3 linked regions of the Pelodiscus sinensis genome follow. The protein of the gene in region 3 purifies or fractionates together with the protein of the main gene of each other region. This does not show direct contact. Links are inferred from orthologs where the notes say so. Each region holds a gene or a part of one and is shown on either strand. Other genes may lie near its edges.

The links.
Region 1: the proteins of SQSTM1 (region 3) and HADHB purify together in Homo sapiens (affinity purification with mass spectrometry; 3 studies listed by BioGRID and IntAct, with this or other methods). This does not show direct contact. The link is inferred for Pelodiscus sinensis from reciprocal best matches to the Homo sapiens genes SQSTM1 and HADHB.
Region 2: the proteins of SQSTM1 (region 3) and NIPSNAP1 purify together in Homo sapiens (affinity purification with mass spectrometry; 4 studies listed by BioGRID and IntAct, with this or other methods). This does not show direct contact. The link is inferred for Pelodiscus sinensis from reciprocal best matches to the Homo sapiens genes SQSTM1 and NIPSNAP1.

The regions. Positions count from the first base shown.
Region 1 is NW_027465862.1:361,219-364,960, reverse strand, and holds the start of HADHB (trifunctional enzyme subunit beta, mitochondrial), read left to right. Parts: upstream 1-1,455; 5' UTR 1,456-1,582; exon of another isoform or gene 1,583-1,662; intron 1,663-3,742. Other genes in the region: HADHA (trifunctional enzyme subunit alpha, mitochondrial), read right to left, coding at 1,275-1,353. UniProt on the Homo sapiens protein: Mitochondrial trifunctional enzyme catalyzes the last three of the four reactions of the mitochondrial beta-oxidation pathway.
Region 2 is NW_027465935.1:547,337-551,078, forward strand, and holds the start of NIPSNAP1 (protein NipSnap homolog 1), read right to left. Parts: upstream 2,526-3,742; 5' UTR 2,467-2,525; coding exon 2,390-2,466; intron 1-2,389.
Region 3 is NC_134727.1:34,417,779-34,421,520, forward strand, and holds the start of SQSTM1 (sequestosome-1), read left to right. Parts: upstream 1-1,413; 5' UTR 1,414-1,527; coding exon 1,528-1,696; intron 1,697-3,550; coding exon 3,551-3,646; intron 3,647-3,742. UniProt on the Homo sapiens protein: Molecular adapter required for selective macroautophagy (aggrephagy) by acting as a bridge between polyubiquitinated proteins and autophagosomes.

The sequences.
Region 1 (3,742 bases), on a different chromosome or scaffold from region 3:
TAAGCTTTTGCTTATCAGATAATCAGTTAATCAACTGCACTATTATATCCCTAGTGCGAATCCTGAAAACAAGGAACTACAGACACCAGGCTAGTGGGCTAGATGGACCTTTGGTCTGACCCAGTACAGCCATTCTTATGTTCTTACCATGGTGTGTACAATCGTGTATCATTCTGACAGTTACAAGTGTAAATTCAGAGGAGAACCCAGCTCTCTAGCTGTGCATTCGCAGAAGGAAACCCTCACCGCAGGAATATGGGGAGCTCAGTGCCTGGGGCACCTCTGCTGAGCAGAAAAAGAAAGGACCAGACGAATGACAACTGCAGGAGAAGGACTGGGTCACTGAATTAAGAGCCCACTTAATTCCACAAACCAACAAACTCTGATCAGATGTCAAATCATTCCTGTGACTTGACTGAAAGCAGTCAGACTAACGGCTTGTCTATACTGCTGTGCTACCAGGCTGTCAGGTCACTGAGCTGTAACTTTCTTGTTCAGGGGTGTGACAAAGCATCTCCCGAGCACAGCAAGTTACAGCGCTGTGAAGTGTGGGTGTAAACAGGCTCCCAGCACTGGGAACTATGCCCCAAGCATAGAGGCTGTTCATCTAGAGCACTGGGAGAGCTCTACGAGCACACTGCCACAGCCACCTTCCCGCATCAAATCCATTAACTGCAAATGATCTCCGCTAGTCACTAACATTCATCACCCGCCCCGGGAAATGAACAGGGAGCAGCAGCACAACCTGAGAGCCCCAGGCCAGGGGTTTGGGGGAGGTGGGATAGCCGCCTGGGGAGAGCTTGTTGCCGCAGCAGGCGTGTGCCGGGAGCCAGGGTGGCTGGGGGCCAGGGTGGCCGGGGCGGCCGGGAGCCAGGGTGGCCGGGGGCCGGGGGGGCCGGGGTGGCCGGGGGGGCCGGGAGCCGGGGGGGCCGGGGCGGCCGGGGATGCTGGGGGCCGGGGGGGCCAGGGTGGCCGGGAGCCGGGGGGGCCGGGAGCCGGGGGAGCCGGGGGGGCCGGGAGCCGGGGGGGCCGGGGGGGCCGGGGTCCGGGAGCCGGGAGCCAGGGCCGCGGCAGAGCCAGAACCCCTGTGACCCGACTGCTGGCGGGCCGGGCTGCTGCGTGTGGCCAGGCCCCGCGCTGAGCTCCCCGGGCTCCTGCTGCCAGCCCCGCCCGGCCGGCGGCCCCAGACAGGCACTCGGCGGGGAGCGCAGCACGGCGAGCCGGGGCGGGGCGGGGCTCGGCAGCGCGCCCCCCCCCCCGGCCCAGCCCCTCACCGAGGCGGCGGGCCGCGCAGTACTTGGCGGCGGCCGTGAAGCGCGTGAGGCTCCCGATCGCGCGCACCGCGGCCGCCATCTTGCTCGGGGAGGTCGAAGCGGCGGCGGGGCGGGTCCTTGAGGCGCGGGGCCTTCGCACCCCCCAGGGCTGCCCGCGGCGCTGCCTGATTGGCTCGCCCAGCCCAGGCGCGGCGCGGGGCGGGCTGCCTTCAGGCACCGGCGAGGGCAGCTACGGCAGGGCCGGCGGGGGCTTTCCTGAGGCAGGCACCGCCCAGGGCAGCGAGCGGGGCCGCCACCGCGTAGCGACGGTAACGGCCGCGGCGCGAGCCCTGCGGGTCCCTGGCGCGTGGCCCCGCCCCGCCCCGCGTGGGGGAGGGGATCGCTGCAGGTGGCTGGAGGGGGAGGCGCTGCCGGGGACGGGGGACTACGTGGGGGGGGGGCTGAAGGAGGCGGGGCCTGGCTGCAGGAGGGGCAGGGCTGTGAGGGGCAGGGGGCTGAAGGAGGCGGGGCCTGGCTGCAGGAGGGGCGGGGCTGTGAGGGGCAGGGGGCTGAAGGAGGCGGGGCCTGGCTGCAGGAGGGGCGGGGCTGTGAGGGGTAGGGGGTTGAAGGAGGCGGGGCCTGGCTGCAGGAGGGGCGGGGCTGTGAGGGGCAGGGGGCTGAAGGAGGCGGGGCCTGGCTGCAGGAGGGGCGGGGCTGTGAGGGGCAGGGGGCTGAAGGAGGCGGGGCCTGGCTGCAGGAGGGGCAGGGCTGTGAGGGGCAGGGGGTTGAAGGAGGCGGGGCCTGGCTGCAGAAGGGGCGGGGCTGTGAGGGGCAGGGGGCTGAAGGAGGCGGGGCCTGGCTGCAGGAGGGGCAGGGCTGTGAGGGGCAGGGGGTTGAAGGAGGCGGGGCCTGGCTGCAGAAGGGGCGGGGCTGTGAGGGGCAGGGGGCTGAAGGAGGCGGGGCCTGGCTGCAGGAGGGGCGGGGCTGTGAGGGGCAGGGGGCTGAAGGAGGCGGGGCCTGGCTGCAGGAGGGGCGGGGCTGTGAGGGGTAGGGGGTTGAAGGAGGCGGGGCCTGGCTGTAGGAGGGGCAGGGCTGTGGGGGGCAGGGGGCTGAAGGAGGCGGGGCCTGGCTGCAGGAGGGGCGGGGCTGTGAGGGGCAGGGGGCTGAAGGAGGCGGGGCCTGGCTGCAGGAGGGGCAGGGCTGTGAGGGGCAGGGGGCTGAAGGAGGCGGGGCCTGGCTGCAGGAGGGGCAGGGCTGTGGGGGGGGCTGAAGGAGGCGGGGCCTGGCTGCAGAAGGGGCAGGGCTGTGAGGGGTAGGGGGCCGAAGGAGGCGGGGCCTGGCTGCAGGAGGGGCGGGGCTGTGAGGGGCAGGGGGCTGAAGGAGGCGGGGCCTGGCTGCAGGAGGGGCGGGGCTGTGAGGGGCAGGGGGCTGAAGGAGGCGGGGCCTGGCTGCAGGAGGGGCGGGGCTGTGAGGGGTAGGGGGTTGAAGGAGGCGGGGCCTGGCTGCAGGAGGGGCGGGGCTGTGAGGGGCAGGGGGCTGAAGGAGGCGGGGCCTGGCTGCAGGAGGGGCGGGGCTGTGAGGGGCAGGGGGCTGAAGGAGGCGGGGCCTGGCTGCAGGAGGGGCGGGGCTGTGAGGGGTAGGGGGCTGAAGGAGGCGGGGCCTGGCTGCAGGAGGGGCAGGGCTGTGAGGGGCAGGGGGCTGAAGGAGGCGGGGCCTGGCTGCAGGAGGGGCAGGGCTGTGAGGGGCAGGGGGCTGAAGGAGGCGGGGCCTGGCTGCAGGAGGGGCGGGGCTGTGAGGGGTAGGGGGTTGAAGGAGGCGGGGCCTGGCTGTAGGAGGGGCAGGGCTGTGAGGGGCAGGGGGCTGAAGGAGGCGGGGCCTGGCTGCAGGAGGGGCAGGGCTGTGAGGGGCAGGGGGCTGAAGGAGGCGGGGCCTGGCTGCAGGAGGGGCAGGGCTGTGGGGGGGGCTGAAGGAGGCGGGGCCTGGCTGCAGAAGGGGCAGGGCTGTGAGGGGTAGGGGGCCGAAGGAGGCGGGGCCTGGCTGCAGGAGGGGCGGGGCTGTGAGGGGCAGGGGGCTGAAGGAGGCGGGGCCTGGCTGCAGGAGGGGCGGGGCTGTGAGGGGCAGGGGGCTGAAGGAGGCGGGGCCTGGCTGCAGGAGGGGCGGGGCTGTGAGGGGTAGGGGGCTGAAGGAGGCGGGGCCTGGCTGCAGGAGGGGCGGGGCTGTGAGGGGCAGGGGGCCGAAGGAGGCGGGGCCTGGCTGCAGAAGGGGCGGGGCTGTGAGGGGTAGGGGGCTGAAGGAGGCGGGGCCTGGCTGCAGAAGGGGCGGGGCTGTGAGGGGTAGGGGGCTGAAGGAGGCGGGGCCTGGCTGCAGAAGGGGCGGGGCTGTGAGGGGTAGGGGGCTGAAGGAGGCGGGGCCTGGCTGTAGGAGGGGCAGGGCTGTGAGGGGCAGGGGGCTGAAGGAGGCGGGGCCTGGCTGTAGGAGGGGCGGGGCTG
Region 2 (3,742 bases), on a different chromosome or scaffold from region 3:
GGAGAACGAGCACTTTGGCTCAATCAAAACGAGACAGAGATTGATTGTCACGGGCTCAAAAAACCTGTCACATCAAACCCAGGAAACAAATACGAGTGGCGGCCTATCTCCGACCTCCCAGCCACTAGAGCCTCACATTTTAGCAGTTACACGACTATTCGACAGTGTGGGGGCGGGGCTAGCAGCCAGTGCCCCCAGCCCCATTCCTGGGGAGCTCCCTGTATCAGAGGCAGCAGTGGTCAGTTTCATGGTGAGTTTCAGCACTGGTCAGTTTGATGGTCACTGTCAGCACTGGTCAGTTTCAGCACTGGTCAGCACTGGTCAGTTTCAGCACTGGTCACCCCTGGTCAGTTTCAGCACTGGTCAGTTTCAGCACTAGTCAGCACCGGTCAGTTTGATGGTCAAGTTTTAGTACTAGTCAGTTTCAGCACTGGTCAGTTTCAGCACTAGTCAGCACTGATCAGTTTGATGGTCAGTTTTAGCACTAGTCAGTTTCAGCACTGGTCAGCCTGGTCAGTTTCAGCACTGGTCACCCCTGGTCAGCACTGGTCAGTTTGATGGTCAGTTTCAGCACTGGTCAGTTTCAGCACTGGTCACCCCTGGTCAGCACTGGTCAGCACTGGTCAGTTTCAGCACTGGTCAGTGTCAGCACTGGTCAGCCTGGTCAGTTTCAGTACTTGTCAACACTAATCAGCACTGGTCAGTTTCAGCACTGGTCAGTTTCAGCACTGGTCAGTTTGATGGTCAGTTTCAGCACTAGTCAGTTTCAGCACTGGTCAGTTTGATGGTCAGTTTCAGCACTGGTCAGTTTCAGTGTTCATGGCTTGCCCTCTGCCTCTGAGCCAGGCTGCAGGCTCAGGAAGACGGTGCTGCCTCCGGACATCTTTGGAAAGTCCGAAGGGCCAGAAACTCCCCAGAGAAGGCGGGGGAGGGGAGGGGGGAGGGAGGGGAACTGAGGCAGACACAGATCCCTCCTGCCCCCTCTGTGCCTCCCAGGGAGGTCAGCAGAGATGCCACATCCACCGTCTGAGCCTCGCAAGACCTTTGCCCAGCTTGGAAGTCTCTAGTAAGCCATTAACCAGGGAGAGAAAGGTAAACAACCCTTCCTCCTGCCACATGCCGCCTGAACATGTCACCCCCCCCCCCCCGTTGGGCTTTGGCCCCCTCCATCGCTCTTCCACACGCCCACCCCACTTATCCAGGGCAACCGAGAGAGCCCACAGGGTGCGGGGGGGGGGGGAGATGGTGTGAGTCATGATGGGGGGAGGTGACCAAAGATCACAGCCGTGGAGGGGAGAGACCACAGAATGGGGGGGGGACCAAAAGTCATGGGATGGAGGGGAGAGTCCATCGGTTGGGGGGGGGAACCAAAGGTCATAGGGATGGAGGGGAGAGACCATCGGTTGGGGGGGGAACCAAAGGTCACAGTGATGGAAGGGAGAGACCACAGAATGGGGGGAACCAAAGGTCATAGGGATGGAGGGGAGAGACCACAGAATGGGGGGAACCAAAGGTCACAGCGGTGGAGGGGAGAGACCACAGAATGGGGGGAACCAAAGGTCACAGGATGGAAGGGAGAGACCACAGAATGGGGGGAACCAAAGGTCACAGGATGGAAGGGAGAGACCACAGAATGGGGGGAACCAAAGGTCACAGCGGTGGAGGGGAGAGACCACAGAATGGGGGGAACCAAAGGTCACAGGATGGAAGGGAGAGACCACAGAATGGGGGGAACCAAAGGTCACAGCGGTGGAGGGGAGAGACCACAGGGTGCGGGGCGGGGATGGGGAGGGACAGGGACCACAGGGGGCAGAGTGAGGGGAGAAGGGCCCAGTGGTGCTGATGAGGGGAGAGGGGTGGCAGGCGGGAGCCGTGGGGAGGGTGAGGACAGGGAGCTGCAGGGGGCCCTACGGGGCGCCCCAGGCGATGGCGGTACGTGGGGCGGGTGGACGCTCCGTGGGGCAGAGGCCAAACCTAAGGGGAGCCCAGGGGCTAGGCAGGTGAGGTGATGGGCCCCAGGGAATAGGAGTACAAGGGACTAGAAGATGGAGACGCTGGGGGGCAGGAGACTGGGGCTGTGAGGTAGGGGGCGCTGGGGCTGGCCACGTTGGAAGACAGGGGGCTGGGGCTCTCGGTACACGGGTGCCAGGGATGGACATACTTGGGGGGCAGGGGACATGGGTATGGGGATGCCAGGGATGGACAAGTTGGGGGTACGGGGGCGCCGGGGAGGGCCACGTGCGGGGATGGGACGGGGATGTACACTGGGGACGGGATACTGGGGGACAAGGGACCGGGCTGCGGGGGCGCCGGGGAGGACCCGCGGGGGGCGCACGGCACCGTGGCCGGGGGGGGAAGGGGGTGCTAGCCCCGGGGCCGCGGGTCTCACCGGGCTCCGCTCCGGGCCACGCAGGGTCCCCGCAGCAGGCGCCGCAGCGCCGGGTTCCCGCACACCCGCGTCGCCATCTTCGCGCTGCGGAGCCGCAGCCGGGCGCTGCGCGGGGCGGGCCGGGGGGGCGGGTCCGGGCGGGGACTCCCCTCCCCCCGCGCCCCTTTGCTCCCCCTGCCCGAAGAAGGGGCGCGCGAGGGCGCGATCCCTGCGCGGGGGGCGCAATTCCGTGCGCACCGCGTGCCCAAAGCGCACACGCCTGGGGCCGCAGCTAAGCTTGGACGAGGCAGGGAAGCGTAAAATCTCCCCCTATTTCAGACCCGGGCTGCCCCAGCCTCCGAGCCCAGAGCCCCCGTCCCTCTGCAAGGAGGAACATCCCTTATAGGAGCAGCAGGGTGGGTCTCTTTGGGGGCCCATCTGTGCGCCCTCACGCCTGCCTGGACGCTCCTTGGGGTAGAGACCCAGTTCCATTCTTGGTCCTGTTGGTCTGCAGTCCTGAACTGGGACCTCTTGGTTAATCGCCTTGGCCATGGAGCAGGGCAGCTGAATTTTCGGTTGTGTCATTTCTAGTCTCCCCCCTCCCCGCGAAAACACAATCTATGTGCGGGGAGCACGGAGGAGTTGACCCTACCCATCTCCGGTCACTACATGTGTATACAATATTTGATCTGTATTTATAGTGTGGCTTTTAAAAAAATGGTGTAAGCCACCTCGAATATTTTAAATAATAGCGGCGGGGCAAAAATATTAAAAAGAAATCAGCGTAAATGAAACGAGCACAGAGATGGAAAGGGACGGGAATTCACCCGGCGCTGAAAAGCGTATCCTGGTTCTGCACTCAAATGCCCAGGAAGGTGTGGGGAGAAAAACGCTCTTGGTTAAACATCCAATGAAGACCTCCCCATTGAAAAAAGGCCTCAAATATCTTAAATAAGAAAGGCTGGGCAAAAATATTGAAAAGCTATTGCCATAAATGAAATGGGCGCAGAGATGGAAAGGGACGGGAATTCACCCTGTGCCGAAAAGCGTATCCTGGTTTTGCACTCAAATGCCCAGGAAGCAGCAGGGAGAAAAACACTCTTGGTTAAACATCTACGAATGACCTCCCCATTGAAAAAAGGCCTCGAATATTTTAAATGAGAGAGGCAGGGCAAAAATATTTCAAAGAAATCAGCATAAATTAAATGAGCGCAGAGATGGAAAGGGACGGGAATTCACACGGTGCTGAAAAGCGTATCCTGGTTTTGCACTCAAATGCCCAGGAAGCAGCGGGGAGAAAAGCGCTCTTGGTTAAACATCCAGCAATACTCCCCCCACCCATTGAAAAAAGGCCTTGAATATTTTAAATGAAAG
Region 3 (3,742 bases):
ACCGGCTCCCCCCATTCTAAACCGCCCCCCCCCACTCCCCTACTCTAAACCGCCCCCCCACTCCCCTACTCTAAACCGCCCCCCCCGCTCCCCTACTCTAAACCGGCTCCCCCCATTCTAAACCGCCCCCCCCCACTCCCCTACTCTAAACCGGCTCCCCCCATTCTAAACCGCCCCCCCCGCTCCCCTACTCTAAACCGGCTCCCCCCATTCTAAACCGCCCCCCCCGCCTCCCTCCTCTAAACTGGCTCCCCCCATTCTAAACCGCCCCCCCCCCCGCTCCCCTACTCTAAACCGGCTCCCCCCATTCTAAACCGCCCCCCCCACTCCCCTACTCTAAACCGCCCCCCCCGCTCCCCTACTCTAAACCGCCCCCCCCCCGCTCCCCTACTCTAAACCGGCTCCCCCCATTCTAAACCGCCCCCCCCACTCCCCTACTCTAAACCGCCCCCCCGCTCCCCTACTCTAAACCGCCCCCCCCGCTCCCCTACTCTAAACCGGCTCCCCCCATTCTAAACCGCCCCCCCCCGCCTCCCTCCTCTAAACTGGCTCCCCCCATTCTAAACCGCCCCCCCCGCTCCCCTACTCTAAACCGGCTCCCCCCATTCTAAACCGCCCCCCCCGCTCCCCTACTCTAAACCGGCTCCCCCCATTCTAAACCGCCCCCCCCCACTCCCCTACTCTAAACCGGCTCCCCCCATTCTAAACCGCCCCCCCCCGCTCCCCTACTCTAAACCGGCTCCCCCCATTCTAAACCGCCCCCCCCGCCTCCCTCCTCTAAACTGGCTCCCCCCATTCTAAACCGCCCCCCCCCCCGCTCCCCTACTCTAAACCGGCTCCCCCCATTCTAAACCGCCCCCCCCACTCCCCTACTCTAAACCGCCCCCCCCGCTCCCCTACTCTAAACCGCCCCCCCCCCCGCTCCCCTACTCTAAACCGGCTCCCCCCATTCTAAACCGCCCCCCCCACTCCCCTACTCTAAACCGCCCCCCCGCTCCCCTACTCTAAACCGCCCCCCCCGCTCCCCTACTCTAAACCGGCTCCCCCCATTCTAAACCGCCCCCCCCCGCCTCCCTCCTCTAAACTGGCTCCCCCCATTCTACACCGCCCCCCCCGCTCCCCTACTCTAAACCGGCTCCCCCCATTCTAAACCGCCCCCCCCGCTCCCCTACTCTAAACCGCCCCCCCCCGCTCCCCTACTCTAAACCGCCCCCCCCCCGCTCCCCTACTCTAAACCGGCTCCCCCCATTCTAAACCGCCCCGCCCCCCCGCCTCCTCAGCCTCCAGACCCCGCCCCGAATCTAGCCCCCCCGCGCCCGGGCGCTGAGAAGGTGCCTGAGCCGCGCCCCGCCCTGCCTTCCCCCTAGCGGGGCGCCCAGGGGCGGGGACTTTCCCGGCGCAGGCCCGGCCTCCCGCGGTATAAGGGGAGCGGCCGGGCGGAGGGAGCTCAGGCCCGCGCCGCGCTCTGCCCAGCCCCAGCCGCCCGCCGCCGCCCATTGCTGCTGCGCCACAGCCCGCCCGCCCGCCATGGCCGCGCTGACGGTGAAGGCCTTTCTGCTGGGCAAGGAGGGGGTGGTCCGCGAGATCCGCCGCTTCGCGCTCCCGCCGCCCGCCCGCTACCAGGACGTGCGCGACAAGGTCGGCGAGATCTTCCCCGCGCCGCTGCGCGACGGCGCCTTCCTGCTGCACTACAAGGGTGAGCGCCGCGGGCCCGGCTGTGGCCAGGCTCGATCCGCGGCTCTTTTCCGCCCCTGAGCTGTGCGAGCCCGTAGGGAGACCGCCCCGGTGCATGCTGCGGGCTGGGCAGAATCGCGGCCTGATGCCTGCCCCACACCCGGCTGCTCCGGGGGGGGACAAGACTCCTAGACTCGAAGGGACCATTATGATCATCTAGTCCCACCCCCTGCCCAATGCAGGCCGCAGAATCGCACCCACCCTCTCCTGGAATAGGCCTCTCCCCTCTCGCTCACATATTGGTCTGAGGAAGTGGGTCTGGCCCACGAAAGCTCGTCATCTAATAAGCCATCTTGTTAGTCTCTAAAGGGCTACATAGCCCTGTATATTGAAGTCCTGAAATGGTCTAAGGACCCCAAGATGCAGAGAGGACAGCAGACTAGCTCTGGGAACAATGCGCTAGGCTGCCCTTTTGCCTCCAGGGCTTCTCTTTTCTGTACCTCTGTAAATGCCTACGGCTTGGTCTACAGCACTACACACACATGTGGGTATAACTGCTTCGCTCAGGCCCCTGGATTTTCCATCCCAGAGGTCGGCTTAATGGCAGTATTAACACTCCATCCCTTCCCTGTACACAACACATTGTGGACTGTTGCCATAGCAATCATTTCCCACGGAGGTGTATTCACTACCCCATGGGAATATAGTAGTGTTTTCACCAAATGCTACAATGGCATAGCTGCACTGCTGCAGCACTGGGGGTGAAGACCAGCCTTGGAAAGAAAGCACATACAGTGAGCCTCATTTTAGCTCAAATTTTAGCTCAAATTACAGAAAGAAAAGTTCTTGCTACTTCCTGCCAACCCCTTCATTAACATAAATTGAAGTTCAGTGTTATACAGTATCATCTCATACTTTATTCGTATTATTAGTTTCTAGACTAGCTCATTGAGGAGACTTTCACATTTCTCCCCTTTAAATTATCATTCATGCAGTAACTCTATTCTGTTCAAAGACCAAGATATTTCAATGCCAAATATTTAGTTCTTAAAGATCATACACTCCAACGTGACTGTTTTTCTGCGGGTGATATTTAACTCTAGTTTATTGGAAAATTGCTTCCTTGTCAGATTTTTCTCTGTTCTCACTACTGCCAGTTTTTAACAAGAACACATATAGCTCTGCAGCATAGCTTCTCCATAGTACTGCAGACATAGTAAAATTATTTAAACATACACTCCATTCTGTAACTATTGCTGAAGTGGCTTGTGTCTTTAAAACTATACCTCTCTGCAAATGTGGTGGTTTGTAAGCAGAAGATAGTTTGGTAGGGAAGAAACTACTTAAGTAGAGGGGCAAGGTGGGAGAGAGTTTTTATGCTGATAATCTGGGGTTGATAGGACTAAAACAACACTGCATACAACTCTCAAGTAGGTTAGATTTCTTTCCCATCTAAGTTATTTGTTGTTATAGAACTCTAAGCAAAAGAGGAGAGTAAAACTAAGTGCCATTTTGAAATGAGGATAGTTAATCAACCCTTTTATTTCTCTCTCAAAACTGGAAGGGACATCCAGTCCAGTCCTCTGCCCTCATGGCAGGTACCATCCCTGACAGATTTGCCCCAGATCCCTAAATGGCTCCCTCAAGGATTGAATTTACAACCCTGGGTTTTAGCAAGCCAATGCTCAAACCACTGAGCTACCCCTCTCCCCAACAGTTCTAATATCAAAGCAGTAAGGTGTTGCTTGATTGTTAGTCTCTATTATTTGCAAAATACTTAAGACAAACTACATATTTCACTTTGTTTTCATAAAGACTTACTTTCATCTCTTCCTGATTGTCACTTATATCCAATTTATTAATCTGTCTTCTTCAGATGAAGATGGCGACATGATTGCCTTTTCCGGTGAAGAAGAATTCAAGATGGCTCTGCCATATGTGAAGGATGGCATTTTTCGTATTTACATCAAAGGTAATCTTTAGTTTTGTGGTGGTAAAGAGGCTCTCAAAAGAGAAGCAAGGCTGACTTTGTGTTTCTGTAATGGGTAACTGCGTATGGCAGAGGTAG